Linked DNA regions of Sus scrofa. The protein of the gene in region 7 purifies or fractionates together with the protein of the main gene of each other region. This does not show direct contact. Links are inferred from orthologs where the notes say so. Each region holds a gene or a part of one and is shown on either strand. Other genes may lie near its edges. The genes, in order: NAPG, PTTG1IP, SNAP29, SNAP23, VAMP8, VAMP3 and STX7.

Region 1 (4,288 bases), on a different chromosome or scaffold from region 7:
ACTAGGTTTAACATTTGTGCCCCCTCACAGATCACACATTCCATGACAGCAGGCATTATGTCCCAGTGGGATTCAGAACGCACTACCCCAAAGTACGGCTCCTTGGCATACTGAAGGGGTTCAGCTGGGGGAACCTGAGAAAGAGCAGGTGCAGGCAGGTTTGATTCCTCCCTTCTCCCATGAGACCCTGTAAGGGAGGAAAAAGTTCTCCTCAACCCTCTTAGGCCCCTGGCTGGGTCTGAACATGAAAGTGACAGACAGATTAATAGGAGGAAAGACTACAGATTCACTGAACAGAAGTTTTAGGTGATGTGGGAGCCTTAATAAAGAAATTATGACTGAAGGACCAGTTAGACTGTGGATTTTCTGCTGGGTTCCATGTGCCAAGGTGCCGTATTTGGGGACAGCGTTTCCCGAACCCCATATACCCTATGTGAGAGATGAGCTACCTGTACCTGGAGGACAGGAACACTCTGAAGACAGAGGTGCTGAAGGTGGTGAGAACAAAGGCCTTGCTAGTTTCCACAGGTCACTGTGCTGGGCTCCTGCCCTTGTCCCATCGTGTTTTCCCAGGACTTTCCAGCCTTTAGCACAGCAAGCATAAAAACACAGGAGTAACCACTTTTGCGGGTCTTCATTTCCTTATAAAGGCTCTCGTGTCGCACAAAACCTCTGTTAAATAAATGTGTGCTTTTCCCCCTGTTCCTCCATCTTGCCCAGTCTAGTTTACAGAGTCACACCTAGAGGGCCCAAGATGGTCCAGGAAGAGATTTCGCCCTTGGATGACTGGTCCAGTGAAATGCAGTTCAGGAACTTAGCTGCACCAGGGCCTCCTTGACATGTATGAGCACAGATTCCAGGGACGGGTCACGTTAGCATGTTGCTGCTTTGTTTTTCTCCAACCACTTTCAATTGCTCAGAGCAGTTCCAGTCCGTAGAGAACAGGGGCTTTTCCATACAAGGAGAAAGGAAGAGGGCCAGGGAGGCTGATGCACACGCAGAAGAGTAGTTACAATGATGGAACATGGAGCTTATAATGGGTAAACAGGGAGGTGTGAACAGGAGCAGAGGCCAGGAAGAGGTGGGAGTTCTGCTGAAGGTGAAAAATTATCAGAGCTAGAAGACAGCAAGAAATAAAGTGTCTGCTTGAAAGTGATGCGTCGGGGGCACAGTCACTAGTAATTAGTTACCCATGACTGGTAAGGTCGAGGGTGTGATCCTGGGGATGAGAGTATGAGCTAGTTGGGTGGAGACCAAGGAGCTGCAATGCTATCGCAGAATCACCTTGCAGGTGTTGAAACCCCACGAAATGTGAGTCGGACACGGAGTTACTGTTATTTCTGCCAGACCCTTGCTGGCGAACCTCGCTCCCGAACGTCACGGAGTGCTCACTTCTGAGCATCTGTCAGGGGTTACCTGACGGTGACCGACAGGCGGTAGGGGCGCACATGTAGTAAAAAATAAACGAGTCTATGCGGTCACGGATCGCAGTGCCAATGCGCTTTCAAGGGAGCGGGAAGCGAGATCCACGAGGGCCGGACTCGGTCTCTCGTTCTCCCTGGCGACCTGCCGGCACTAGGACAGTGTCTGACGCATAGTAGGTGTTCGACAAACCGGTGCTTGACGAACGAATGAATGAGAGAACCTCCCTCACTACCCACCACTGCTGCGCATGGAGACAAGCTAGCGGCCAGCTCGGGCGCTCTGCGCCTGCGCGGCGTTTCCTGCGCGGCTCCCGGGCCGCTTCGCCGCACTTGGTTTGAGCCCTGCAGGCCCCGGTGGAGCGGCAGCGGCGCCGTCCCGGCCTCCTCCTCGGCGTTCCCACGCCCACTCGGCGGGCTCTCGGCCTCCACGTCAGGGCCGCACCGCGGAGATGGCGGCGCAGAAGATAAACGAGGGACTGGAGCACCTCGCCAAAGCAGAGAAATAGTGAGTGAGAGGCCCAGCGCGGCCCAGGCCGGACGCCGGGGCCGGGCCCCTCCGAGAGCTGTCCGAGTTAGCATCGCGCGGGGGGCGCAGGGGCGGGCGAGCGGGGCTTGGGGGGGTGGGCGCTGGCCCGGAAGCGCTACCGTCGACCCGGAAGTTGTCGCGGCTCGGGTGATGGGGGCAGTGGGGGCTCTTTGGTACCCCGGAGCCCGGCAGTCTGGGGGCTCCCCCCACCTAGGCCGGTAGCCCCTCTTTTTCCTCAGTTAAGGTGTCCCCTGGTCCCTTGGAAGCTGGCAGAGTCGTAAGCAGGTCGTCACTAACTGAAGTTTAGAATTAAAGATGATGTTCATTGGGCAATTTGTAAGCACACCTAAGCTTGACAGTCACTAAACTGTAAGCCTGAAATTATTCTGAAATTAAAGTATTGCAGAAAGGGCAGGTTAGATAAGGATTCAATCGGATTGTACTTTGGTGTGGCGTTTGAGATGCCAAGTAATCCTGGAATCCTGGAAAGCAGCTTCTGTCTTCCAGTCGTCCTCGTCTTTCAGGTGGTCCTTCCTGTCCCCTGGTGGCTCATTGGAGTCTTTCTTGCTGACTCCCTCTGTCTCCCTGAGTGTCTTTTCTGTAGTCTTTCTGGCCTTTCTCTGCAGTCTTCCTGGCTTTTCTCTGCAGTCTTCCTAGAGAAACTTATGGGGCCCTTGGTGTGGCATCTGCTGATGACTCCTCGGTCATTCTCTGGCCTCTCCTGTGCTGCAGTCTCACAGGTCCCACTGCTTACTTATGTGCTTCAGCCCTTCTCAAGCTTTAATACTTCTCAGGGCTTTTTACACCCTGGATTGCCGCCGCTATTCCAGAGTGTCTGGTTCGGTAGAGCTGGGGCTCGCTCAGTGACTTACACTTTCTTGTACGCTGCCAGGTGGTGCTGCTCCTGCTAGTCTGGGGACCGTGCAGGAAGACCCTCCACTCTACTTGGACAGACATTTCAAAAGGGGGACAACTGTGTCTGTGACAATGGGAGGGGAAGGTAGTGAGGTTGTATGTGATTATCAGTAAGTTTCAATGGAGCTGAGTGAGATGGTGACTTTGTAGGGATGGTCCCCTCCCCCCCTTTTTAATGAGCCCATCAGAGCCTTTACAAGCAAGGTTCTTAGGAATGTGATTGGCCCATGGTCCCCTGCCCCCTTTAATGACCTATAAGGTGCTTACAAGCAGGGTTCTTACTTATGAACGAACATGGTTGGTAACTTGTGTTAATTGTGTCTTCTTTTCCTTTTAGCCTGAAAACTGGTTTTTTAAAATGGAAGCCAGATTATGACAGTGCTGCTTCTGAATATGGAAAAGCAGGTATGAGTGACTGTAGCCCAGTCCTTGTGGTGTGTAATCTTGACATGGGCTGCTCACTTCATCTCGGTATAATTCTTCCTCCTAACGCATCCTGTAGCATTTTAATTGTTTAAAAGACAAAACGAAACTGCCTGAATCCTTGCACTTGTCCACTTGTTTTCAGATGTCTTGAGTGTGAGCTGCAGATTCAGTGGCCTCTGCCTCTCCTGGGATGGCAGGATGGGAGCAGGGGATGCAGCTGCGCTTTTAGCATCCTTTATATGTTCTTGAACTTCATTCAGTTCATACTATCTCTGAGAGTTTTGTCATGTTCTTCTGCTACCTGTTATTTTGAAAGATTTTTTCTATTTCTCTTTTCCTTCCTTCTGTCCTTCCTTCCTTCTGCCTCACCCACAGCATAGGGGTTGAGTCGGAGCTACATCTGCCAGCCTATGCCACAGCCACAGCAATGTTGGATCTGAGCCACGTCTGCAGCCTACATCACAGCTCATGGCAATGCTGGATCCTTAACCCACTGAGCAAGGCCAGGGATCGAACCTGCATCCTCCTGGATCCTAGTCGGGTGTGTTAACTGCCGAGCCACAAAGGGAACTCCCTGAAGATTTTTCTCATTGACTTTTTAAAACATCTTAGCCTCATTCTCAGTAGAGCTGCATGCCGTGGCTTGGCTCTTGTTCTTTTTGACCCTTCCACGGAGGTGCACCGATGAATGTTTATGAAGTGTTACATTATAGGCATATATTAATATGTTTATATGCATGTAAGATAAAAATGATCTGGAATTTGCAACCAAAAGAGAATTATTAAAAACTTAGCATTTTAAGTTATGGGAGATAGCTTTCAGCATATCCGTGATTATTTGGGTATAAAGCATAATACAGTTTTGAAACACCCTGAACACATTTTACTGTGTTTCAGCAGTAGCCTTGATCACATTTGTTAGCCTCGCATTTAGTGTTAGTATGTCACCAAGAAAAAAGAAATCAGGTAAGATGACACTAATCAGCAATAACAGCAT
Region 2 (3,934 bases), on a different chromosome or scaffold from region 7:
GCTCTGCGGGATGGACTGGGGACGTCTCGGCCACTGGTTTGCCTTTATAAATCCTCAGGAGAAACTTGTTTGAAGAGTGTTTGGTCGGGACAGGAGGTCACAAGGTCGTCTGGTGGCTGCAGCCCGTGCTCTGCCCGTGGTGGGAGGGGTGTCCCGTGGGCGGTGGGTGGAGGGCTCCGGGCTCTGACGCCGTCATCCCGCGGGACCGCGTCTCTGTGGCTCCCGTCTGAGCTCGCCGCTGCTCCTCCCTCTGGGTTTGTGGACTTTGCTCGGGCCGGTCAGGCCTGTGCGGGATGCGGGGGGGCGGCAGCTGCCGCTGCCTCGGCGCAGGGCGGCTGGTGGGAGCCGGGATCGGTCCCGGGGGCGGGGGGCAGGGCCGTGGTGACCCCGCTGCCCCCCGCAGTGAACTTCGAGGCCTTGATCATCACCCTGTCGGTGCTCGGGGGCTCCGTGCTCCTGGGCGTCGCCATCTGCTGCTGCTGCTGCTGCTGCCCGAGGAAGCGGAGCCGCAGGCCCGACCGGAGCGAGGAGAAGGCGGAGCGGGAGCGCGAGGAGCGGCGGGTCCGGCAGGAGGAGCGGTGAGGCCCGGAAGACGGGGCGGGGATCCTGTGGGTTCAGGGCTGTGCCTACCAGGCCTCTGAGTGCCCGTCCAGCTCTGAGCCCGCAGAGGCACAGAGGGAGGAGGGCGTCGCTGTGGCCTCTTGTCCGTGAGGCCGAACTGGCCTCTTGTGTTGCCAGCACTGTGACAACACATGTCCTGCCAGCCGCCCCCTGGAGCGTGTGTGTGGAGTGGCCGGGAGGCCGCTGGGGCCGGGGCCTTGCTGGTCCTTGCCGTCTTCCGAACCAAGCGCAGGTCTTTGCTGATGGGTTAGTTTTCTTTAAAGGAAATCAGTGTGGGGGCATGAGAGCTGCTTCTATTGAAACGAACCGGGTGAGGTGATGGAGCAGCCCGGTCTGCCGGGCCCCCTGCCCGTCCAGTGGGAGTGTGGCCCTGGCCGGCCGGCCCCATCCAGCTCTGGCTCCGGGAGGCGGGAGTGAACCCCCGGCCCCGCCGCCCAAAGTGAAAGGTCCCGCTGGTAAAATCGTGCTGCCCTTTGGTGCTGAGCGAGCGCCCTCTGTGTTGTAGGAGAGCAGAGATGAAGTCAAGACACGATGAGATCAGAAGAAAATACGGTAAGAGTCCGCGGGCTCTCCTTTCCGCCGGGGGCACGGGAGGCCGGCCGCAGGTGCGTGACGGAGCGCTGCCTTTACCTGCCTTTACCTCCCAGCCAGCCTCCGGGCACCTGCTGCGAGGGGACGCCGCACTCCACCCTGGGCTCTGTAGGAACAGGGGGTCCGGTGCCCCTGGTCCCCGGGCGGAGGCGGGCGGGGGCGGGGGGTGAAGGGTGGTCTCTGCGCCTGCTCCGCGCACCCGGCTCTCTCTCGGCCGCATCTGAATTGTCCCGAGGTGCGGGCTGGTTCCCGTCGGCCGCGCGCGTTTGTCATCAGCCCCTTTGGTTTGCAGGTTTGTTTAAAGAAGACAATCCGTACGCCAGATTCGAAAACAACTAGAGGCGCGTCATGCGAGGCAGCGTCTCCTCGCCTGGCCCGGGGCTGCGGGTCAGCAGCGGCCACGGCCTCGTCCGCCTCGGCCCTGGGGCGGCCCGTGGGAAGCTGCCCCCCAGGTGCAGGCCTGTGAGCTTTGTCCTCTTTTTTCCTGTTTCTGTCTTTGTCCCTTGAGACATTAAGCCTGTCAGGGCCTTTGGTTGTGTTGTCATTAATCTGAGGAAACCGCACGTTCCTGCCCCTCCCCAGTCTACCTGGGAGCCGGTGCCGACCGCGCCCTGTGTCCCGGGCCTGGTGGGTGCGGCTCCACATGCCGGAAGGCAGTGCGTTTTCAGTCTGTTGTGGGACCCCCGACCAGCCAGCCCTTGTCATTTCCCCGACGAGCCGAGCCGGCTCTCCATTGCCCGCCGTGTCCCGGGCGCCGTCTGCTGAGGGTTCCCGTCCATCTGCACCAGCTGGCACCAAGCAGTCGCTAAAACTCCCCTTTTTAGGTGCGGCCCTAGAAAGACAAAAAAGAGGTTTCACCCGAAGCCTTCCTTTGGAAGCGTAGGCCACCTGGGGGCTGGCTTTTCAATCAGCATCTGGACTGGCACACGAGGCGTTTCTTCCTGGGAAAATCTGAATGTGGACCCTCTGGCCAGCAGTCACCCCGTGCAGGGGCGGGGACACTTGAGAAGCTTTACCTGCACCCTTCTCTGCCCCACTGACCGCAGGCCTGGGGCCCGGGCACAGTCTCTCCCGAGTCCCAGACCCTCCCTGCCTGTCCTCAGTGCTCACCTGGGCACCGCGTGCGACGGTAGGTCCTCCGGGAAGGGACTGTGTCCTGGGCTCTCCCCGGGGGACCCTGTGAGCCAGGGTGCTGAGGGCTGGGCGGCGGTGCAGAGATGCTGCTGGTTGTCCTGCTGACCAGACCACCCGGCCCCCGGCCAGCTCCGTGGATCTCCTTCGGGCGGCCTCATCTGCGGTGGCCCCGAGGTGCCAGACGCGGCAGTCGTCCCTCCAGTGAAGACATGTGACTGCCGTCCGTGGTCTGCGCGCTTCCAGGCAGGTTCGCAGACAATGAAGTGACTGGTTCCTCCTTGAAATCTGAACACAGTTCTAGTTGCCACATTGCTTTGACTTAGAGGAAACCGAGCTTTGGGACGGCAGGTGAGCGGCTGCATGAAAGGACTCAGGCAGAGCCAGCGACCAAACACACCAGCGCACGGCCCGCCAGGCCTTGTCCGCACGGACCCAGCGACCAAACACGCCAGCGACGGCCCGCCAGGCCTTGTCCACACGGACCCAGTGACCAAACACGCCAGCGACGGCCCGCCAGGCCTTGTCCACACGGACCCAGTGACCAAACACGCCGGCGCACGGCCCGCCAGGCCTTGTCCACGCGGACCCAGCGACCAAACACGCCGGCGTGCGGCCCGCCAGGCCTTGTCCACACCCCCTGTGTCGATCTAACCGGTTGACCCTGGCTTCTCACAGACTAAGAAGCAACCTTTAACAGACTCTTGAGTCTTATTCTTTGATTTCTTGGGCATTTGATTGCAGCAAAGTGTTAAGAGACATTCCCGTGTCCTTCGTAACAGCCTGCAGAGTTTTCCTTTCTACTCTTTGTTCATAAAAATCTTTGTAAGAGACTCGAGTCAACACCGAGTCTGGGTGTAAATCCCTCTTTGCTGCCTTGCGGCTGCCGAGCTGAGGCGAGTGGGTTGTGAGATAAAAACCCCATCCTTCCGCGCGGCACAGAGCCGGCTGCGGGCACCGCCGCTTCCCTGTGCTCTTCGACTTGCTGCCAAGAGCAGTCCAACCTGGAGCCTCCAGGAACCGCGTAACCTGAGTGCCTTCATCTGTAGCCACTTTCCAGTCAGCGGCCCAATACACGTTTTTGCTGGCTACGCTGCGTTCCTCCTCTCGTTTCTGGGTGGTGGGAGCGCTGTTGCTTGGGGAGCAGGGGTGGATGGGGCGGTCCTGACGAAGGTGGGTTTCTGGACCCCTTACTAGCCGCGGGAGCAGCCTCCCACGGAGCTCCCGCTGCTGAATGGCCCCAGGGCCGCGCGGCTTCCTGCTGCAGCGCCACCTGGCGAAAAGGTGCCTTTGAGCCTGTGCACCTTGGCTCCCCTGCTGGAAACAGGTGCCACCAGGAACGCATCCTGCCCTCTGCCCTACCTGCTTGGGGGTCTTGGTACCCGCGTGGGGAGCAGTCCCGCCCACTTCCGAGTTGCTGCTGAGTTGGGGGCGTTTTGAGGATGACCGCCCCCTGCCCCACAGCCCCGCAGTAAACCTTTCTCCAAACTCCGACGCTTCTCTTTGGCCTCACTGGGCATCAGGCACCCGGATTCTTGTTTGGTGACATGGTTGCGCTCCGTGACAAGGGGGCAGCGGGCTGGCGAGGGCG
Region 3 (3,500 bases), on a different chromosome or scaffold from region 7:
GACATCTTTATCTCAAAAATGGGCTCCAACAAACCCATTGCCTATAGTTTTGTTTTTAATCCTTCAAATTCCTAGGCTATGTGTGTAAAATTGCTCCTGACTTTGTTTTGGGGAGTTAGGAGAGAGCATCTAAGGATTGTTTGCATTATTAACGTAACTGAGAGCCACAGGGAAGCGGCCGAGGTCAGGGGCTGCCTCCTGAGGTTGAGGATCCGAGCCTAGGAGTCTTATGGTGGAGAGGCAGACCATGGGGTGACCAGGCTGAACGGAGTTTGCCCCAGATTTTAAAAGTATGAGCCCTGGAGTCCCTTTGTGGTACAGCAAGTTAAGGGCCCAGCATTGTCATTACTGTGGCCCAGGTCGCTGCTTTGACCCAGGTTCAATCCCTGGCCTGGGAACTTCCACATGCCACAGGTATGGTCAGAAAAAAAGCATGAGCACTGGTATGGTGCTGAGTTCACATCCACGGCCAGAAGTCTCAACTCTCAAGGAATCAGGCCAGGCTGGCCCCAGGGCCACAGAGTCCTCCAGCGTCTGTTGGGCAGGGGCAGGCTTGCAGGAGCAGCTGCTCTGAGGGGCCCTGTAGGCAACAGCCAGCAGGGCCCAAGGAGGCAGTCCAGGGATGAAAGAGGACTTCTTCACAGCAGGTGTTCCGGGAAGGCTTCTCAGAGGAAGTGTCCTCTGAGCAGAGGCTGGATCAAATGAGGAAGGAACAGAGCCATGAGGAACATTAAACACAGAGCAAGGAGGATGTGCAAAGGTCCTGTGTCAGGGTTGCCGTTGTTAGAGGTTTAAAAGCTGAAACTGGATGGGCTGGAATCAGACACTAACAGGGCCAGAAAGGACAACAGAACAAAGTTTCTGAAATACACACGAGCAGGGCCAGAGGCCCAGGTGGCCCAGCGGCACTGCTGTATCTGAGAGGGAACATCCAGGAACTACAACCCAAGTCAAAGTCCCCAGGGTCCCCATGGCTGGGAGAGGAGGGGGCTAGAGAGGATCTGCTGCCAGGCCCTGCACCTGGACCCCTCATAGGCCAGGCCAGGGGGACAGGAACCCCAGAGCAAGTAAGAGCAAGCAGTGGTGAGGCGGGAGGGAGAGACAGGGAAGGTGCACATGGGTGACCTCGTCATTCCCTCGTGCTGGCCAAGCTGCCCTGTGTCTCTGTCATGCCATCGCTCTCCCCTGCCCCCACGATAGGAGCTTGTCCGTCAGCGTGGGGCCTTGGAGCGCACAGAGAAGATGGTGGACAAAATGGAGCAGGACCTGAAGACCAGCCAGAAGCACATCAACAGCATCAAGAGTGTGTTCGGAGGGCTCGTCAACTACTTCAAGTCTAAACCTGTGGAGACCTCGCCTACACAGAACGGCACCCTTGCCCCCGAGCCCAGCAGCAGGTGGGTGGCTGCTCAGCCTACTATGAGGTAACAGAAGGTGGGCCTTCATGCAGGGCCAGGGGGCTGAGACTCAGGCCACTTCCTGGGCTTTAAGGGACCCGGTAACCCTGAGAGTCACTCACTGGGAGGAATCGGTCCTCAAATACTTGGAAATAAGAAACCTTCTCCACTGCTCCTTATTACATTGATGTCATCGCTGTCCAGTCTACAAAGGTTCCACAGATTTCTGCCCCAGTGATTGAGACTGGTAATTTGAAAGAAAGAGTTCAGCTTGGCTCACCTCACAGAATTTTTGCCTTAAAAACTCTACCTCCAGCTTTTCAATGCCTAACCCATTTTGCCCCTTGGTTATTATTTTTGAATTAGAGATTATTTTCCCCAAATGTCTTCACTAGAGATCTAATAAAGTCATACTGCAATTTTGATGGGCATGTAAATGTTAAGTGTTCAGAGATAAGAGAAATAAGTTTCTGGGAGTTCCCTAGTGGCTCAGCACGTTAAGTATCCAGTGTTGTCACTGCTGTGGTGCATGCAGGGTTGATCCCTGGCCCAGGAACTTCTACGTGCCATGGGTGTGGCCAAAAGAAAGAAGAGAGGGGAGTTCCTGTCTTGGCACAGTGGAAACAAGTCCGACTGGGAATCATGAGGTTGCAGATTCAATCCCTGGCCTCACTTAGTAGGTTAAGGATCCAGTGTTGCTGTGAGCTGTGGTATAGGTTGCAGACGTGGCTCAGATCTGGCATGTCTGTGGCTGTAACTGGCAGCTGTAGCTCTGATTCGACCCCTAGCCTAGAAACCTCCATATGCTGTGGGTGTGGGCCTAAAAAGCCAAAAAAAAAAAAAAAAAAAGAAGAAGAAGAAGAAATGTTTTTCTACTAAAACAAATGACTGCTAGTCATATCCTAGACCACTATGTCTGTTTTTTATTATAAAAATGATATTGTTGAATTACAGAAAATCTCCACCTTACCTACCATCACACAGAAACTTAAAATTTAGTTTTTTCCTGTGGTTCCCATTGTGGCTCAGTAGTAACGAACCCAAGTAATATCCATGAGGTTGTAGGTTTGATCCCTGGCCTCGCTTGGTGGGTTAAGGATCCAGTGTTGCCGTGACCTGTGGTGTAGGTTACAGATGCAGCTGCAATTCAACCTCTGGCCTAGGAACTTCCATACGCTGTGGGAGCAACCCTAGAAAGACAAAAAGAGTTTAGTTTTTCCCCCTTTTTGACGTTTTCATAATCAGAGTATTCATTTGGTTTTGTAGCTTCTTACACTTAATTAACCCAGAAAAAATATATAATGTTATACAGGTTTTGTAACTCTCTCTCTCTGTCTCCCCTTTAATTCTGAAACACAGAGGTTTGTTGTTTTTTTCTAATGCGCAGATGATGTACGGTAAAGCACATACACACTTTAGTGGAGAGCTTACAACTCTTTACCTGTGCGTACTCCTTTGTGACCACCACCCAGATCAGGACATAGGGCGGAAATTAGGGAGGGTGTGGGCTTGAAGTGCAAGCAATGCCAGTGCTCCAACACGCTGGTGCCCAGCTTGCGCAAGGCACCATGGTCCATGTTCTCTTCCAGGCCACTGGCCTATGGCAGCAAAAAGCACACCCTGTGCTCGGGTGCCTGCAAGGCCATCATGGGGCCTGTGCCCACCCACCTGGGAAGCTCAGGCAGGGCCAGTGGGGCTCCAGGGCAGGCAAGTGAAAGTGGAGGCCTTTTTTTTTTTTTTTCCTGGTTTTTTTAGAGCCACCCCTGCAGCATATGGAGGTTCCCAGACTAGGGGTTGAATCAGAGCTGTAGCTGCTGGCCTGTATCACAGCCACAGCAACATGGGATCCAATCCATGCTTTCGACTTACACCACAGCTCACGGCAACGCTGGATCCTTAACCTACTGAGCGAGGCCAGGGATCAAATTTGCATCCTCATGGATACTAGTCAGATTCGTTTCTGCTGAGCCATGAAAGGAACTCCTTTTTTTTTTTTTTTTTTCTGGAGGAGGCATTTGATTTTCTCACACAGGCACCCCAGGAAAAGACTATGCTGGCAGAGGTGGTGTTCCCTTCTAAAAGATTTCTTTCTTTTCTTGACTC
Region 4 (4,010 bases), about 98 Mb from region 7:
CCTACACCATAGCTCACTGCAATGCCAGATCCTTAACCCACTGAGGAAGGCCAGGGATCGAACCTGCAACCTCATGGTTCCTAGTCGGATTCTTTAACCACTGAGCCACGTTGGGAACTCCTGCTTAAGATCTTTTGATATTCTCAGTGATCATGGTAAAGTGAAAAAATGCAAGATCTTCTAAGATCTAACTTTTTTAAAAAATTGTAGTATGATTGATTTACAATGTTATGTTAGTTTCATGAGTACAGCACAGTGATTCAGATATATATATTACAAAATGTTGGGTATCATTCCCTGTGTTATACAGTAGGTCCTTATTAGTTATCTATTTCACATGTAGTAGTATCATTGCCAACTTTTTTTTTTAACAGCTGCATCTGTGGCATATGAAAATTCCCAAGCCAGGGGTTGAATAGGAGCTGAAGCTGCAGCCTGCAGCTCCAGATTCCTGGGGCATCTGTGAAGCTGCAGCAAGATGGGAGGATCCTTAACCCACTGAGCCAGGCCAAAGATTGAAACTGCATCCTCACAGAGACAACTGTTAAGTCCTTAACCCACTGAGTCACAGCAGAAACTACATCATTGCCAACTTTTAAAAACCCTTTCTCCCCTTCACCGGAAGGCGGCGCGCTTTAAGCCTCTCAAGTAGGATGAACTGCAAGGAATTTCCAGAAGGTGTTATGTTGTTCTTGGCACACTCTGTTCTCACAGTCTGGAAACTCCTATCTCCTTCCATTCCAAATTTCCGGGGGAACTCCTACTTAGCCTTCACGATTCAAAAGTCACTTCCTCCGGGAACTCTTCCAGATACCCTAAGAATAAAGCGCTTTGTTCACTGTGCCCCAACGGCGCCTCGGATTTTTCATATTCCAAGCACTATATTCTGTCCACTACAATTTGTTTACATATCTATGTCCCAGTCTAGGCAAAGGTCGGGGAGGCATTCTATTCGTTTTCTCTTCCTCAACATTCATCTCGTACATTGCCTGGTACACGGTTTGCCCTCGGTAAATGTTTATTGCATAAACACTTTCCATCTTGGGCGGGACCCGAATTGTCGGGTTAACCGGTGAGTCCCCAGACTCTTCGCCTGCGTGGCAGGGAGATTTAAACCGCCCCCCCGCCCCCACACCAGGGTGATTGGCTCCAGCTGCAGGGGTGTGTCCGCGCCCGCCGCGCCGGAGGAGCGCGCAGGCGCGCAGGTTCGGCGCGCGCAGGCGCAAGAAGAGAGCAGTTGGAGAGTCCGGCCTGCGGGTGTCCGATCTGCTGCGGCCGGAGAGGAGTGGCCGGAACTGCTTGGTGAGTCTCCAGGAGTGGGATTGAGGGAGCTGGCTGCCGTGAAGATTGGGTTCATAATCCCAAGGAGAAAGTGTATATCGTGACAGTTGAAAAACTGGTGGGGTCGGGCTTGAGGGGAGGAGGGGGCGCTCTGGCCCGAACTGAGCCGGTCCGGCCGGGCTCGAAGACGCGAGGCTCCTGGAGACTCTCTAGGGGTCAGAGGAGGAAGGGTGGAGGGATGTTGGTTCTCCGGACTTTCCTTGAAACCTAGCAGAGGTAAACTCCCACTCCCTGACTTCTCACCCTCGCAGTTGTCGGGATTAATAGACTTTATGGTGGCCACAGTGATCAGATTAATTTTCAACTACCTGTATGAAAAAGGTTTCTGAGATTCATGGCATTGGAGAGTCCATGCTCTCTAGGAAAGTCTGTACTTGGCTCGCGGCTTCACTGAAGACAAACGAAGGAAAGAGTTATTAAAAGTAAAATTCCACGGAGTAAATGGTGGTGGTGGTGGGGAAGTCCTGGAAAGTGCTGTTTCACCTGGAACTTTTTTTCATCATTAGTCACCACAATGCTAGACAAGGCAGATGGGGGTCAGAGGCAACGAAAGTCGTCAAAATTGGGAAAAGAAGATGAGAAGAGAATATAAATTTTGCCTTTTGCTACTTGCCCTCTCCTTTGGGGAGGGCTGGAGGCGATTATGGATACTGGCAGCTTATGACAGTGTTGCCTTAGCTTCCTGAAAATAATGTAGCTTCTTAGTAGAAGGTATTTCAAGAATTGAGAGTGATATTATTCCATCTGCCCTGGGACCTTAAAACTGGTTTGCAGATGTTCTGGTGAAATCCTGCAGGTTTGGCCAGATGGAAATGGTTCTTCCACTTTCTTGGTTAGCCTGAAAGATACCACGCTTGAAATTCATGAGACATCTTTAGCAAGAATACTTTGACATTTAAACTTAAAATATTTCATAGTAAAATTTTAAAATATTATTTCTTCCACCAGCAAATTTGATTCCTAAGGCATCCACTAATCACCTGCCTTTCATTCCTTTGGAAAGAGGTAATGAGAAAAAAACACTTTCATATAAATATTAACAAATATTAGGAGAAAACCCTCTTCCTATATGACCATGCTCCTTTGACAGGCCATGTGAAAGTAAATTAAATGATCATGTAACTTAACCCACAACTTAGATATCAGTGTTGCTAGGGATCTTTTTCTAGGTGCTTGTGACATGTAAATATGCCCTAGAGAATTGCTATTATCTTAGTTCCAGAATAGGAATGGCTTATTGTGTCATTATGTTTTTAACAATATTACACACTCTTTCCTATAAACAGAATTTCTGAATGCTTCTTAGTATTTGTTTCTTTTACTCTAAATTAGCTTTAGTAACAAGCTCACTGAACTGAAGGTCACATCTTTTTATCATTCAGAACCCACCCTTGAACCAAAAAGAAAGCAAACAAACAAACCTAAAAACAGACCCTGTTGCTGATGGGACAGCTGTTGTTACTTCCCTTGGTATGAACCATACCACCATCATAAAAGATTTCCAAAGTAATAAATATGTTAACTACTAAGCACGTACGTATTGCTTAAATAACAACTAAAATTTCTTTTTCTTGCTTTGCGCTTTGGAAAATAGTGCTTTGGGCCTAATTGCCTCTTTTTTTTAAATAAAATGAAGATTGGATTATCTAAACTCTAAGGGCAGAAGATTCCAAAATTCTGTGAGCCTTGTGATGGCATTCATTGTTGTGACATAATTCTAACAAACCAGATGAAAGTAGATTAGAATAGCAAAAGGGAAAAAAAGGATGTTCACTCTTTGACATTTTTGTGAAATCAACTGCCTTTGTTTTGTTTTCCTCCTGTAGTTGCTATTTCTCCTTTTTTTTTTTTTTTTTTTTTTTTTGCTTTTTAGGGCCACTCAAAGTATAAGGAATTCCCAGGCTAGGGGTCAGAATGGAATCAGAGCCACAGCTGCCGGCCTATGCCACAGCCACAGCAACGCCAGATCCGAGCTATGTCTGTGAGCTACACCACAGCTCATAGCAACGCCAGATCCCTAACCCACTGAGTGAAGCCAGGGATCAAACCCACATCCTCATGGATACTAGTCAGATTCAGTTCTTCTGTGCCACAACAGGATCTCATCTATTTCTTGAACATTCTGGAAATCTGATTTTTAGCTGGATTTGTACTCTAATTATGTATATGTTAGCATTTATAATATATGATGTTACTTGCATCCAAGAGTGCTGAACTTTTCATTCCAGAACCATGTTTTGTTTCCAGTTCTGTAGATTGACGGGGAAGTAGATGACAAGGACTGGTCTTTTCTTTGTCTTGGTGAGTAGGGGTGTGGAACAGATGGATCCAGTGCCTCTAACAATTGGAGGAAGTGGATTGTGGAGCCAGGAAACAGCATCTCCTGTTCTTTTGGTAATATTGAGCATTAGAAATGGGATTCCATTTGCAGTCATTTAAAGTTCAATTGGAGTTCCTGTCGTGGCTCAGTGGTTAAAGAATCCAACTAGGACCATGGAGTTGTGGGATTGAATCCTGGCCTTGCGCAGTGGGTTAAGGATCCAGTGTTGCTGTGAGCTGTGGCGTAGGTTGTAAATGTGGCTCGGATCCCACGTTGCTGTGGCTCCAATTCAACCCCTAGCCTGGGAACCTCCATGAGCCATGGGAACGGCCCAAGAAATGGCAAAAAA
Region 5 (4,217 bases), on a different chromosome or scaffold from region 7:
TTAACATATAAAATTACTGAGATTTACAGGTATTCTCTCATAATAAGTCTTTGAAATCTGTGGGGGTTTTTTGTTTGTTTTGTTTTTAGGGCCACATTCATGGCATATGGAGGTTCCCAGCCTAGGGGTCTAATTGGAATACAGCTGCCAGTCTGTGCCACGGACACAGCAATGCGGGATCCGAGCCGCATCTGCAACCTATACCACAGCTAACGGTAATGCCGGATCCTTAATCCACTGAGCAAGGCCAGGGATTGAACCCGCAACCTCATGGTTCCTAGTTGGATTTGTTTCCATTGCACCACAAAGGGAACACCTGAAATCCGTGTGTGTGTTTCATTTACTCTTAAATCTCATCAGAGTTCAGACTAGCCACATTTCAAATGTTGAACAGCCACTTGTGGTCCAAGGCTACTGTACTAGACAGCAGCAAGTACAGATCAAAGGTTCTGACCTCCCTCTTCTTGGCCACATTGTAGCCTTTCTAAGGATGCTGAGGAGTCCAGGAGCCACATTCTCTGAAAGCAGGCTGTTACTATGCACCAAATTTCAGAGCTGCAGAAGATAATAATCTTATCTAATTGGAAGAAGGTTTCATTATAAATTAAAATTAAGGGTCTCAAAATGCTCCAGAGGTCCAAAATGTATGAGACTCTTTAAAAAAGCATTTGTCAGAGAAACTAACATTTCCCTCTTGGAACTGTTACCTCTTCTGGGATGGGACAGGAATGTTTGTTCCCTTCTGCACGTCCCTGTTATTGTTCTTCTGTCTTGATAAACACCATCCAGGAAGAGTGGATTTTCTCTGGCCTGGAGCCAGGTTGGTGGAAAAATCCTTTGCCCTGGGCCCCTTTTCCTGCTCCATAGGGCAGTCGTCTGACTGTTTCTGACAGGGCTCACCAACCCACATGGTGGCTCCTGAAGAGACGTACATGCAGGACTGTTGAACTCTGGAAGGAAAGGGGGGTTGGTGAGCCATCATTTCCTGATTCCAGCAGTGGGCAGCCCTTGGTTCCAGACACTGTGCTAGGCACATGCTATGTTCTATCCTTTTATTCCTCACCACCACCCTCTGAGGTCAGCGTCAGCACCTGCAAAACCCAGACAGGCAGAGGTTCACTCAGGGTCTGCAGCCTTCTGACACCAGAGCCCAGAATCCCAGCATTCCAGACTCTGGGGGTTTTAGTGCTTTCTACACTAAAACAGACTTGGGAGCAAGGTCTGTCCAGAAAGTGTTCATCTCTGCATCCTGTTCCCATGCGAACAAGGTGCTGAAAGTTGAGTTCAATCTCCAAGAATTGAGGGTCAGATATTCAGGACTTTAGAAAAAGAAGCGGGACTTCCCGCTGTGGTGCAATAGGATTGGCAGCGTCTCTGCAGCTCCAGGACGCAGGTTTGATCCCCAGCTCAGCACAGTGGGTTAAGGATCCAGCGTTGCCGCAGGCTGCTTTGGTCGGCTGGGAATTCCATGTGCCGTGAGGCGGCCAAAAAAAGCGGGAGGGGGAGGAGATGGCTGCCCTTTCTACGTCAGTAAACCTAGGAGGGCTGCCTGATCTTTTTTTCCCTGGTTCCTGATACGTGAGAAGAATTGTGGTGCCAGGGAGCCCTGTGGCTTTAAGCCTAAGCCCTGGCAGGGGAGGAGACTGGGAGGGCTGTGGAGGGTGCCCGCCTACCTGGGGAACCTGCGCGAGGTGTGGCCGGAGCGGCTCGGGATGCGAGGTGGGCGGGGGCGGGCTGAAAGTTGGACAAGCAGGAAGTGAACCGACGGCCGCCCGGGAGGAAACCGATTTAGGCGAGTTCTGCTGCCGCCAGGCCCCAGCCGCTCGGAGACATGGTGAGAGAGCTGGAGACTAAGAAGGGGCTGATTTCAAGCCCAGCCAGAGGGTTCGAGGGGGAGGGCTGGGGATCAGCAAAGGAAAGTTAGTGGCAAAGTCCAGAGGGCCGAGCCAGCGCTGTGGCCTGTCTTCTTTGACAGTTCGTCTGCAAATAGTTCGGAGCTGCCTTGGGCGGGTGTTCCTGCTCCTTCTTCGCTCCCTCCCTCCCCTGACCCCGGAGCCGGCCGGGAGGGGGGCTCCGGTGGGGGTGGGGGAGTCCTAATTCTTCTCCTTCTCCAGCCGGCGGGCCCGCGGGTGTTGTGACATTCCTGGGCAGCGCCTCTGCTGTTCCCGTCGCAGGTTCCAGCCCAGCGGCGGAATCCCCCTTGCCTTTCTCTCTATTCTTGTACAGAAACGCAAAGAATGTGTCTCTCCCCTGAATCCAAGGAATCTAGCTCATCTCCATTAACGTGAGGAAGAGAGCTAAGGGTTTGAAAGTCAGAAGTGGGTTTTCTGTGAGTGTCTCGTTTGGACCCACACCAGAAGTCTAGTGGGTCAGGGAGGGAGTTTCTCCCTCCCTGTTCAAAAACCTTATCATAAAGCCTGGGGATGAGGCATCAGGCCAGGAAGAACTTGCCCTCCATTTCCCCCAACGCCCAGGCTGCTGTTTTTATTTTATACTTGCTTAAGCAGGCAGTGGCGTGGTGCCGGCTCATGACGCTAAATGGTGGGGAAAGCAGAAGTTTGTGGCCCAACGGCTCTCTGGTGGGGCCTTGTGAGGGACTTGTAGCCTGGTGGCTGTTGTTCTGGGTCACAGCCATCAGGCTGCCCAGGAGGTCCGGAGAGAGAGGGAGAGTTGAGCTGGGTGAGGGTGGTCTGCGGGCTGGCACAGGCATTTTTACTGAGGACCCTATGGGATTTGAGAGTTGGTGAGGAGCAGTGGGGCTGTGCACTGTGAAATGCCAGCTCAGCTGTCTCCTGGAACCCTCTTTGAGGAAAAGAAGCAGTGGAGAGGGGTTTGGTAGTGGTATTTGTCATGCACCCTGAGAACCCACAAAGAGGTTTGATTCAATGTCTCCTAGCATGGCTCTTTACCATCTGGGGCTTAAACATGTAGGTTTTTTTCACTGTGCCCTATGGCATGTGGAAGTTCCCAGGCCAAGGATCAAACCCAAGCCTCAGCTGTAACCAGAGCCACAGCAGTGGTAACACCAGATCCTTAACTTCCTGAGCCACTGGGGAACTCCAGATGCTTTATTTTATTTTATTTTTTTGTCTTTTTGCCTGTTCTAGGGCCACTCCCGCGGCATATGGAGGTTCCCAGGCTAGGGGTCTCGTTGGAGCCGTAGCCGCCGTCCTACACCACAGCCACAGCAATGCAGGATCTGAGCCATGTCTGCAACCTACACCACAGCTCACAGCAACGCCAGATCCTTAACCCACTGAGCAAGGCCAGGGACTGAACCTGCAACCCCATGGCTCCTAGTTGGATTCGTTAACCACCGTGCCACAACGGGAACTCCAAAATCCTGTTTTTTTTTAAATCTTTTTATTTTAGGGCTGCACCCTTGGCATATGGAAGTTTGCAGGCTAGGGGTCATATCAGACCTATAGCCGCTGGCCTACACCACAGCCACAGCAACAGCAACGTGGGATCCAAGCCAAGTCTGTGACCTACACCACCACAGCAATGCTGGATCCTTAACCCACTGAGCAAGGCCAGGGATCGAACCTGCCACCTCATGGATGCTAGTCAGATTTGTTTCTGCTGAGCCACAATGACGGGAACTCCTGCATTTGTTTTTTTATTACATGCATACTTAGCAGAAAACCTTCTCTTTGTAAATAGTTCAAGCATTACAAAAGCTTAAGTCCATCTTAGGCCTCCCCCTCCTCTGGCCTCTGAGGCTGAGTCTCAGTCCCTCCACCACTTGGCTTAATTAACCGTTTTGTTGCTGCCCAGGAGGAGGCCAGTGGCGGTGGAGGGGATGACCGCGTGCGGAACCTGCGGAGTGAAGTGGAGGGAGTCAAGAATATTATGACCCAGAATGTGGAGCGGATCCTGGCCCGGGGAGAAAACTTGGACCATCTCCGCAACAAGACAGAGGATCTGGAAGCCACAGTGAGACAATGGGGAGCCTACTGGGGGCCAGAGGAAGAGGGGGAAGGAAGATTCTTGGGGGTTTGGGGATTGGCTGTCTTGGTGGCAGATGTTCAGGAGGGCAGTCTGCCTTTTCACCTGCATTGGGAATTGATGGGAGCAGATTCCCCACTTCTGATTCTGCTCTACTCCACTGATTGGTGCTGGGGTCCAGGGAATGGGTTCAAGGACTGGGGCTGGGGTGCATGGAGAGGGTGGAGGTGGGTGCGGACCCATGGAGGCATTTCCTGAGACAAATGGAT
Region 6 (3,980 bases), on a different chromosome or scaffold from region 7:
TGGTGGACCCTCTTCCTTCTGATCCATCCCGGGGCTACTGCTGGACAAGTTCTGGGTGACAGATCTGCCGCAATCCATGAGACTTCAACGGTTTCGAGAGCCCACTGTGTTTACATGCCATTCTCCTTGCTTGTTAGTCTTTACCTTTTATTCAATCTTATTTTCACCTGTGCCCTAACCTGCACCAGTCCCACCACCACCCGCACCTCCTCGGTCTGTTCAAACCAGGTCCATCTTGAGTTTCTTTGTCTATGAAAGGTTGTTCCTCCCATGCCTGGAAACTCTCCTTTTTGCCACTTGATCCAACTCAAATCTCACCTCCTCTGTCTTGCTTTCTTGTCTATTTTTATTTGTTCATGTAGTGATTTAAAATTTTTTCATTATAGCCTAGTTTACAGTGTTCTGTCAATTTTCTACTGTATTTCCTAATTTTTTTATATAGTGAACTCTCCTGTTTATTTTAATATACATCAATATTTCTTTTTCCAATTATCCCATTTAGGGTTGCAACAGACAGTTTGGTGTTTATTTTTTCATTTCTCATCGAATCTGCCGGTTGACCTCCCGGTGTTCTGTGGTGTTTGTTTAGTGTAGGAGTTGCCTGTGGTGGTAGGAATAATGTCAGGAGCAATTTAATACCTTGCAGAGTAACTCACTGAATTGGTGCCTGGGCCTCAACCCAAATCAAAAGCTGGGGACCTACTCCCTACTGGGGGGGTCCAGAAATACAGAACCATACAAAGCCCAGTTACTGATGTGAAGGCTCCTGTAAACGGGTTATAATAAGCTCTGTGCAATGACAAATATTTGTGTCACAAATGACTACACGAAGAGAGGGACCCTAGGCCCAATCAATGCCTCTGACGAATACCCTGAAGGAGCTTCAGGTCTTATTTTAAAAGTTTCCTGGGGAAATGCGGTGTCTCTAGCATCACTGGGTAAGACGCAACGTTAAGCAGAAGCCCATGGGCTGTCACTGATACCGTCACGGCCACAGGAATGACCCACGGGCCCAGAATAACGTAAAGCGCCCCCACCCCCGACCACCCACACAGTCCCTTTCCCGGGACTAAGGCTCCGGGCCCCCAGGGTCAGGGCGGCCGGCCGTGGGGGGAGGGAGCGGAACCGCCCTCCGGGCCCGCCCCCGAGGCGCCCCGCCCCTTCCGGCGCGCCCCTCGCCGCCGCGCACGCCCCGTCCACCCCGTCAGCCCCTCCCTTTGACGTCATCGGCCCCGCGCCGCCGCCACCGCCGCCTGCGCCTGGCCCCGCCCAGGTTCCCCGCCTCAGGTCCCGCTGCGCCTCTTCGTCGATTCTCGCCCGCTGTCGCCGCCGCCGAAATGTGAGTGACACAAGGCGACACGGAGCGACCTCGGGCCCTGGGGGCGGCGGCCAGTGGCTGGGACCCCGGCCCGGCTCGGCCTGGCTCCCTTCTGCAGCGTCTCGGACGCGGGCCGAGGCTTCGCGGGGGCTCCCGAGGCCTGGGGGTGGGCGGCGGGCGGCCCCGGGGATACGAGCTGCAGACGGGCCGGGTCGGCCCTGGGCGTTGCCTGCCGCCCCGGAGGGCCCTGCGGCGGTCGCGCGGCCGCGGAAGGGGCGAGGGCGGGGCGGCCGGTGTTTCCCAGCGGAGGGGAAAGCCCTTCCCCGTCCCATTTTCTCCTCCCCTCCCTCCGCCCCTCCCCGTCCCATTTTCTCCTCCTTCCCGTTCCAAGTTGACTGAGGGGAGCTGTGGCCACTGCCCTCGTCCTGGAGACCTGCTCGCTATCGGGTTGGGTTGGGCTCCGGAAGTTGCAAGGGAGGGGCCTTCAGCCCTGTCTTGAGGCACTTGCGGTCAGAGTGGGTCAGAGTGGACTCGGGCGCATAGCCGTAGGCCTTCTCTCTTTTTTTTTTAAGCCGAAGCATTCTTGTTGTGACCCTTGAAAGCGGGGAGTTTCCGGTGGTAACATCCAGGGAACTCTTAAGTGTCAAAAATCACAGGGAGCCCCTGTCCCCACTCCAGCCTGCTCAGTGCTCACCCCAGAGGAGAAAGGAATGGGTGCTTTCCTAGGGTTCCTAACGGAGCAAGAGACACCACTCCGGAGTGTATGTACCTCCTTGAAGCTGCCGTGCCGGCTCTCGGTGTGTGAAGTCCAGATCTGTAGAATTATGCAGAACCTAATCTAAACACAGGCGCCACTGCAGCCAGTGGTGTCAACTTTCTAAAGCTATTCATCTATAAAATGAGGTTAACAATAGTGTTCCCTCAAAGAGTTTTGGGGATTAAATGAGAAGATGCACCAACACATGGCCCTTTGCTGTTATCTCTCAGACAATAAACTCTCTGAGGGCAAGGGTGGGATCTCCTTTATCATTGGTCTTTGACACATGATAGATATGAAATAACTGTTGAATCAATGAATCAGTGGCTGTTATATGCAAGATAAGTGCTCTAGGTGCTGTCTGGGATACTGGAAGAGACGTGTAAGACACAGGAGTCGGTGATCTGTTAGAGAGGGCAAGACTCTATTAATACATGAAAAATCAAAGCATTGCCAACCAAGTAATGGAAGCAATTAGGACTTCCTAGCCTGCGTGGTCGTGAAAGGTCTGCCTGGGGAAAAATAAAGCTTTCAATGAGGGTTTAAAAGAGGCACCTTTTTGGAGTTCCTGTTGTGGCTCAGCACTTAGCTAACCCAAATAGCATCCATGAAGACACGGGTTCGATCCCTGGCTTCACTCCGTGGGTTAAGGATCTGGCGTTGCCACGAGCTGTGGTGTAGGTCGAAGACGAGGCTCAAATTCCGAGTTGCTGTGGCTGTGGTGTAGGCTGGCAGCTGTAGCTTCGATTGGACCCCTAGCCTGGAAACCTCCATGTGCTGCGGGTGTGGCCCTAAAAGGCAAACATACAAAAAAAAAAAAAAAGTACCTATTTAGCGAAGAAGAAGCGTGGCTTCGTCTTACCTTTTCCACTCCCAGTGCCTTCTACTCGGCATCTGGGTCTTCCCAACTCTGTTTCTCTAAGTGAATCTATTTCCTCATACTGGAAAAGGGCATTTTATGATTGTTTATACAATTCTTTGCCACAGCGAAAAGATCAGAAGATTGCTGAGTGCATTTAAGTAGACTTATACCTTCAAACAAGTCATAAAAAATGGGAAAATAGGAGTTCCCTTCGGGGCTCAGCGGTTAATGAACTTGACTAGGATCCATGAGGATGTGGGTTCAATCCCTGGCCTCGCTCAGTGGGTTAAAGATCCCACGTTGGCACAAGCTGTGGTGTAGGTTGCAGACGCAGCTCGGATCCCCAGTTGCAGTGGCTGTGGTGTAGTCCGGCAGCTGTGGCTCCGATTCCACCACTAGCCTGGGAACCTCCATAAGCTGCAGGGCGCAGCCCTAAAAAAAGGCAAAAAAATAGGGAAAATAGAGTTTACTTATCTTAGGATCAGGTGCTTTTGTGATACAAAGTAGATCCTGTTAAATCTCATTTCAGACCTTGATCACTTTTAACATGTGGGTGAATCTCTGAAATTATAGAGAAACTAGAAGAAATGGCATTAGAACCTTTGTTCATTACTGCAGGAAGGATTTCCTTTTTCCGCTTTAGTGCTGAAATTCCCAACACTGAGTGTCCTGGAGTGCACCTTCACACTTGGAGAAGTGTGTTTGGAATCCTCATTTACCCATGCTTGTGCCTTTACCTCAGGTCGACAGGTGCGCCTGCAGGTTCCAGCGCTGCCGCTGGCAGCAACAGAAGACTTCAGCAGACACAAAATCAAGTGGACGAGGTATTGCTTTCCAATGTTGTTGCATTTTAAGCCAAGATGGGAAGGCTTTGGAAATAATTCTGTTTAGAAAAAGTATCATAAAAGTGTAAATGTAAAGTAAATTTCGACTCTCACAAGTGTAACAAAAAAGTGCCCCTGGTTTTGAAAACCCTTATCTAAGCTCCTGAGAAGTCACGCTCTCCTGGTTTCAAGCTTGTTTTCCTGCCGCTGAATCACACA
Region 7 (3,500 bases):
ACTGTCTCCTCCAGAGACCATAAGTTTTTCAGTGTCTGTGAGTCAGCATCTGTTCTGCAAAGAAGTTCAGTCTATCCTTTTTTCAAATTCCACATGTCAGTGAAAGCATTTGATGTTGGTGTCTCATTGTATGGCTGACTTCACTTAGCATGATAGTTTCTAGGTCCATCCATGTTGCTAAAAATGCCGGTATTTCGTTCTTTTTAATGGCTGAGTAATATTCCATTGTGCATATGTACCACATCTTCTTGATCCACTCCTCTGTTGATAGACATTTAGGTTGTTTCCACGTTTTGGCTATTGTAAATAATGCTGCAATGAACATCGGAGTACATGTGTCTTTGCGAGTCGTGGTTTTCTCTGGCTAGCTGCCCAGGAGTGGGATTGCTGGATCAAATGGTAGTTCTAGTTTTAGTTTTCTGAGGAATCTCCATACTGTTTTCCACTGTGGTTGCAGCAATTTACAATCGCACCAACAGTGTAATAGGGTTCCTTTTTCTCCACACTCTCCCCAGCTCTTATTGTTTGCAAACTTTTTGATGATGGCCATTCTGGCTGGTGTAAGGTGGTACCTCAGAGTGGTTTTGATTTGTTTTTCTCTAATAATGAGTGATGATGAACATCTTTTCATGTGTTTTTTGGCCATCTGTTATGTCTTCTTTGGAGAATTGTCTGTTTAGATCTTCTGCCCATTTTTTGATGGGGTTGTTTGGTTTTTTTTGGTATGGAGCTGCAGAAGTTGTTTATAAATTTTGGAGACTAATCCCTTGTCAGTTGATTCACTTGCAAAGATTTTCTCCCATTCTGTGGGTTGTCTTTTCATTTTGTTTAGGGTTTCCTTTGCTGTGCAGAAACTTTGAAGTTTGAGTAGGTCCCATTGGTTTATTTTTGGTTTTTTTGTCAATACTCTAAGAGGTGGATCTGAGAAGATGTTGCTGTCGTTTATGTCAGAGAGTGTTTGGCCTATGGTTTAAGAGTTTTATGGTGTCTGGTCTCATATCTAGGTCTTTAATCCATTTTGAGTTTATTTTTGTGTGTGGTGTTAGGGAGTGTTCTAATTTCATTCTTTTCCATGTGGCTGTTCAGTTTTCCCAGCACCACTTATTGAACAAGTTGTCCTTTCTCCATTGTATATTCTTGCCTCCTTTGTCATAGATTAGTTGACTGTAGGTGCGTGGGTTTAATTCTGGGCTTTCTGTCCTCTTCCACTGATGTATATGTCTGTCTTTGTGCCAATACCATACAGTTTTGATGATTGTTGCTTTGTAGTATAGTCTGAAGTCCAGGAACCTGATTCCTCCAACTCCATTTTTCTGTTTCGGGATGTCTTTGGCTATTCTGGGTCTTTTGTGCTTCCAAACTTTAAAATATTTTTTTCGAGTTCTTTGAAAAATGTCCTTGGTAATTTGATAGGGATTGCATTGACTCTGTATATTGCCTTAGGTAGTATAGTCATTTTGATAATATTAACTCTTCCAAGAGCATGGTATGTCTTTCCATCTATTTGTGTCATCTTTGATTTCTTTCATCAGTATCTTATAGTTTTCAGAGTACAGGTCTTTTGTCCCTTTAGGTAGGTTTACTCCTAGGTATTTGATTCTTTTGGATGTGATAGTAAACAAGATGGTGTCCCTAATTTCTTTTTCTGCTCTTTCATTGTTAGTGTATAGAAATGCCATCGATTTCTGTGTATTAATTTTGTATCCTGCGACTTTGCCAGATTCGTGGATGAGCTCTAACAGTTTTCTGGTAGAGTCTTTGGGATTCTCTAGGTATAGTATCATGTCATCTGCAAATAGTGATAGTTTTACTTCTTCCTTTCCAATTTGGATTCCTTTTATTTCTTTTACTTCTCTGATGCTCTGGCTAGGACTTCCAAAACTTTGTTGAAGAGTAGTGGCGAGAGTGGACATCCTTGTCTTGTTCCTGATCTCAGAGGGAATTCTTTCAGCTTTTCACTGTTGAGAAGGATGTTTGCCATGGGTTTGTCATATATGGCCTTTATCATGTTGAGGTAGGTTCCCGCTATGCCCACTTTCTGAAGGGTTTTTATCAGAAATGGGTGTTGGATTTTGTCAAAGCCTTTTTCCGTGTCTATCGAGAGGATCATATGGTTTTTATTCTTCGGTTTGTTAGTGTGGTGTATCACACTGATGGATTTGCGGATATTGAAGAACCCTTGCATCCCTGGGATAAATCCCACTTGATCATGATGTATAATCTTTTTAATGTACTGTTGGATGCGGTTTGCTAGGATTTTGTTGAGGATTTTTGCATCAATGTTCATCAGTGAAATAGGCCTGTAGTTTTCTTTTTTTGAGGTATCTTTGTCTGGTTTTGGTATCAGGATGATGGTGGCCTCATAGAATGAGTTTGGGAGTATCCCTTCCTCTGCAATGTTTTGAAATAGTTTCAGAAGGATAGGTGTTAGCTCTTCTCTAAATGTTTGATAGAATTTGCCTGTGAAGCCATCTGGTCCTGGACTTTTGTTTGTTGGAAGTTTTTTAATCACAGTTTCAATTTCAGTTCTTGTGATTGGTCCATTCATCTTTTCTATTTCATCTTGGTTTAGTCTTGAAAGTTTAGTCTGAAAATTAAATTTTCAGAATTAAATAAAGAGCCAACAACTTTTGCACATGCTGTAGAATTTCACAGCTTGATTCTATCAGGTGTTTTTTGTTTTTTGTTTTTTTTTTTAAATCCCCCTTTCCTCTAGCGTCAAAGGAAAATACAGAAAGACCGCTTAGTGGCTGAATTCACAACGTCACTGACAAACTTTCAGAAGGTGCAGAGGCAAGCTGCTGAGAAAGAGAAAGAATTTGTTGCTCGAGTAAGAGCCAGTTCCAGAGTTTCTGTAAGTATTTAAAATGGCATTGTAAAAAGGAACACAGTATTCTCTAAAATATCTTAAGAGACTACATGGGTGTTTCTTGAGTCATAAAGACCTGTGAAAGTCTTAGAGATCAGTATTGAAATATTTAATTTCAGGTGTTTCTGCTTAATTTTTAAGAAGTATGATAATGGTGTATTACTCTGGTTATTCTGTGTCAAACAAAAGATTACAGATTATGTAAAAATAAACATTTTGTCAGAAAAGATTAGGGGTCTGATCCTAATTTGAACATGAGGCTGTTACTTCGTGTTCATGCTGGTGTAGAGAAGTCTTTCCTCCTAGGTTATGTGAAGATGATGGACGTGAACAGAGTGAATATACATATAATTATTGAAAATATATACCTGGAGAAAATAAATGAAAGGATAAGTTAGAGTGGAATTCTAACTTAATCTAATTATATATCTCCCCTGGAAACTATCACGAGTATATTGTTCCTTAATATAGAGGTTCCAAGACTACTTTACATTTTAATCGAATAATAATTATTATTTAGCACTTGAGAATATTTAATGAATTCTTTGCTTATCAGGTTATGATATAATTTTGTTATTACCTAAAGTAATTGACCTACAATATTAGAACAAGAACTCCCTTGTAGATGTAA

What was found.
Region 1: the proteins of STX7 (region 7) and NAPG purify together in Homo sapiens (affinity purification with mass spectrometry; 3 studies listed by BioGRID and IntAct, counting the BioPlex papers as one, with this or other methods). This does not show direct contact. The link is inferred for Sus scrofa from reciprocal best matches to the Homo sapiens genes STX7 and NAPG.
Region 2: the proteins of STX7 (region 7) and PTTG1IP purify together in Homo sapiens (affinity purification with mass spectrometry; 3 studies listed by BioGRID and IntAct, counting the BioPlex papers as one, with this or other methods). This does not show direct contact. The link is inferred for Sus scrofa from reciprocal best matches to the Homo sapiens genes STX7 and PTTG1IP.
Region 3: the proteins of STX7 (region 7) and SNAP29 purify together in Homo sapiens (affinity purification with mass spectrometry; 3 studies listed by BioGRID and IntAct, counting the BioPlex papers as one, with this or other methods). This does not show direct contact. The link is inferred for Sus scrofa from reciprocal best matches to the Homo sapiens genes STX7 and SNAP29.
Region 4: the proteins of STX7 (region 7) and SNAP23 purify together in Homo sapiens (affinity purification with mass spectrometry; 3 studies listed by BioGRID and IntAct, counting the BioPlex papers as one, with this or other methods). This does not show direct contact. The link is inferred for Sus scrofa from reciprocal best matches to the Homo sapiens genes STX7 and SNAP23.
Region 5: the proteins of STX7 (region 7) and VAMP8 purify together in Homo sapiens (affinity purification with mass spectrometry; 7 studies listed by BioGRID and IntAct, counting the BioPlex papers as one, with this or other methods). This does not show direct contact. The link is inferred for Sus scrofa from reciprocal best matches to the Homo sapiens genes STX7 and VAMP8.
Region 6: the proteins of STX7 (region 7) and VAMP3 purify together in Homo sapiens (affinity purification with mass spectrometry; 3 studies listed by BioGRID and IntAct, counting the BioPlex papers as one, with this or other methods). This does not show direct contact. The link is inferred for Sus scrofa from reciprocal best matches to the Homo sapiens genes STX7 and VAMP3.

Annotation. Positions count from the first base shown.
Region 1 is NC_010448.4:97,972,175-97,976,462, reverse strand, and holds the start of NAPG (gamma-soluble NSF attachment protein), read left to right. Parts: upstream 1-1,488; 5' UTR 1,489-1,873; coding exon 1,874-1,929; intron 1,930-3,202; coding exon 3,203-3,270; intron 3,271-4,288. UniProt on the Homo sapiens protein: Required for vesicular transport between the endoplasmic reticulum and the Golgi apparatus.
Region 2 is NC_010455.5:207,493,156-207,497,089, reverse strand, and holds the end of PTTG1IP (pituitary tumor-transforming gene 1 protein-interacting protein), read left to right. Parts: intron 1-403; coding exon 404-578; intron 579-1,126; coding exon 1,127-1,173; intron 1,174-1,504; coding exon 1,505-1,551; 3' UTR 1,552-3,434; downstream 3,435-3,934. UniProt on the Homo sapiens protein: May facilitate PTTG1 nuclear translocation.
Region 3 is NC_010456.5:50,498,687-50,502,186, forward strand, and holds part of SNAP29 (synaptosomal-associated protein 29), read left to right. Parts: intron 1-1,200; coding exon 1,201-1,397; intron 1,398-3,500. UniProt on the Homo sapiens protein: SNAREs, soluble N-ethylmaleimide-sensitive factor-attachment protein receptors, are essential proteins for fusion of cellular membranes.
Region 4 is NC_010443.5:128,886,156-128,890,165, reverse strand, and holds the start of SNAP23 (synaptosomal-associated protein 23), read left to right. Parts: upstream 1-1,210; 5' UTR 1,211-1,302; intron 1,303-2,289; exon of another isoform or gene 2,290-2,346; intron 2,347-2,723; exon of another isoform or gene 2,724-2,874; intron 2,875-3,588; exon of another isoform or gene 3,589-3,642; intron 3,643-4,010. UniProt on the Homo sapiens protein: Essential component of the high affinity receptor for the general membrane fusion machinery and an important regulator of transport vesicle docking and fusion.
Region 5 is NC_010445.4:59,190,366-59,194,582, reverse strand, and holds the start of VAMP8 (vesicle-associated membrane protein 8), read left to right. Parts: upstream 1-1,417; 5' UTR 1,418-1,831; coding exon 1,832-1,834; intron 1,835-3,777; coding exon 3,778-3,936; intron 3,937-4,217. UniProt on the Homo sapiens protein: SNAREs, soluble N-ethylmaleimide-sensitive factor-attachment protein receptors, are essential proteins for fusion of cellular membranes.
Region 6 is NC_010448.4:68,472,741-68,476,720, forward strand, and holds the start of VAMP3 (vesicle-associated membrane protein 3), read left to right. Parts: upstream 1-1,180; 5' UTR 1,181-1,337; coding exon 1,338-1,339; intron 1,340-3,679; coding exon 3,680-3,761; intron 3,762-3,980. UniProt on the Homo sapiens protein: SNARE involved in vesicular transport from the late endosomes to the trans-Golgi network.
Region 7 is NC_010443.5:31,222,905-31,226,404, forward strand, and holds part of STX7 (syntaxin-7), read left to right. Parts: intron 1-2,716; coding exon 2,717-2,854; intron 2,855-3,500. UniProt on the Homo sapiens protein: May be involved in protein trafficking from the plasma membrane to the early endosome (EE) as well as in homotypic fusion of endocytic organelles. Mediates the endocytic trafficking from early endosomes to late endosomes and lysosomes.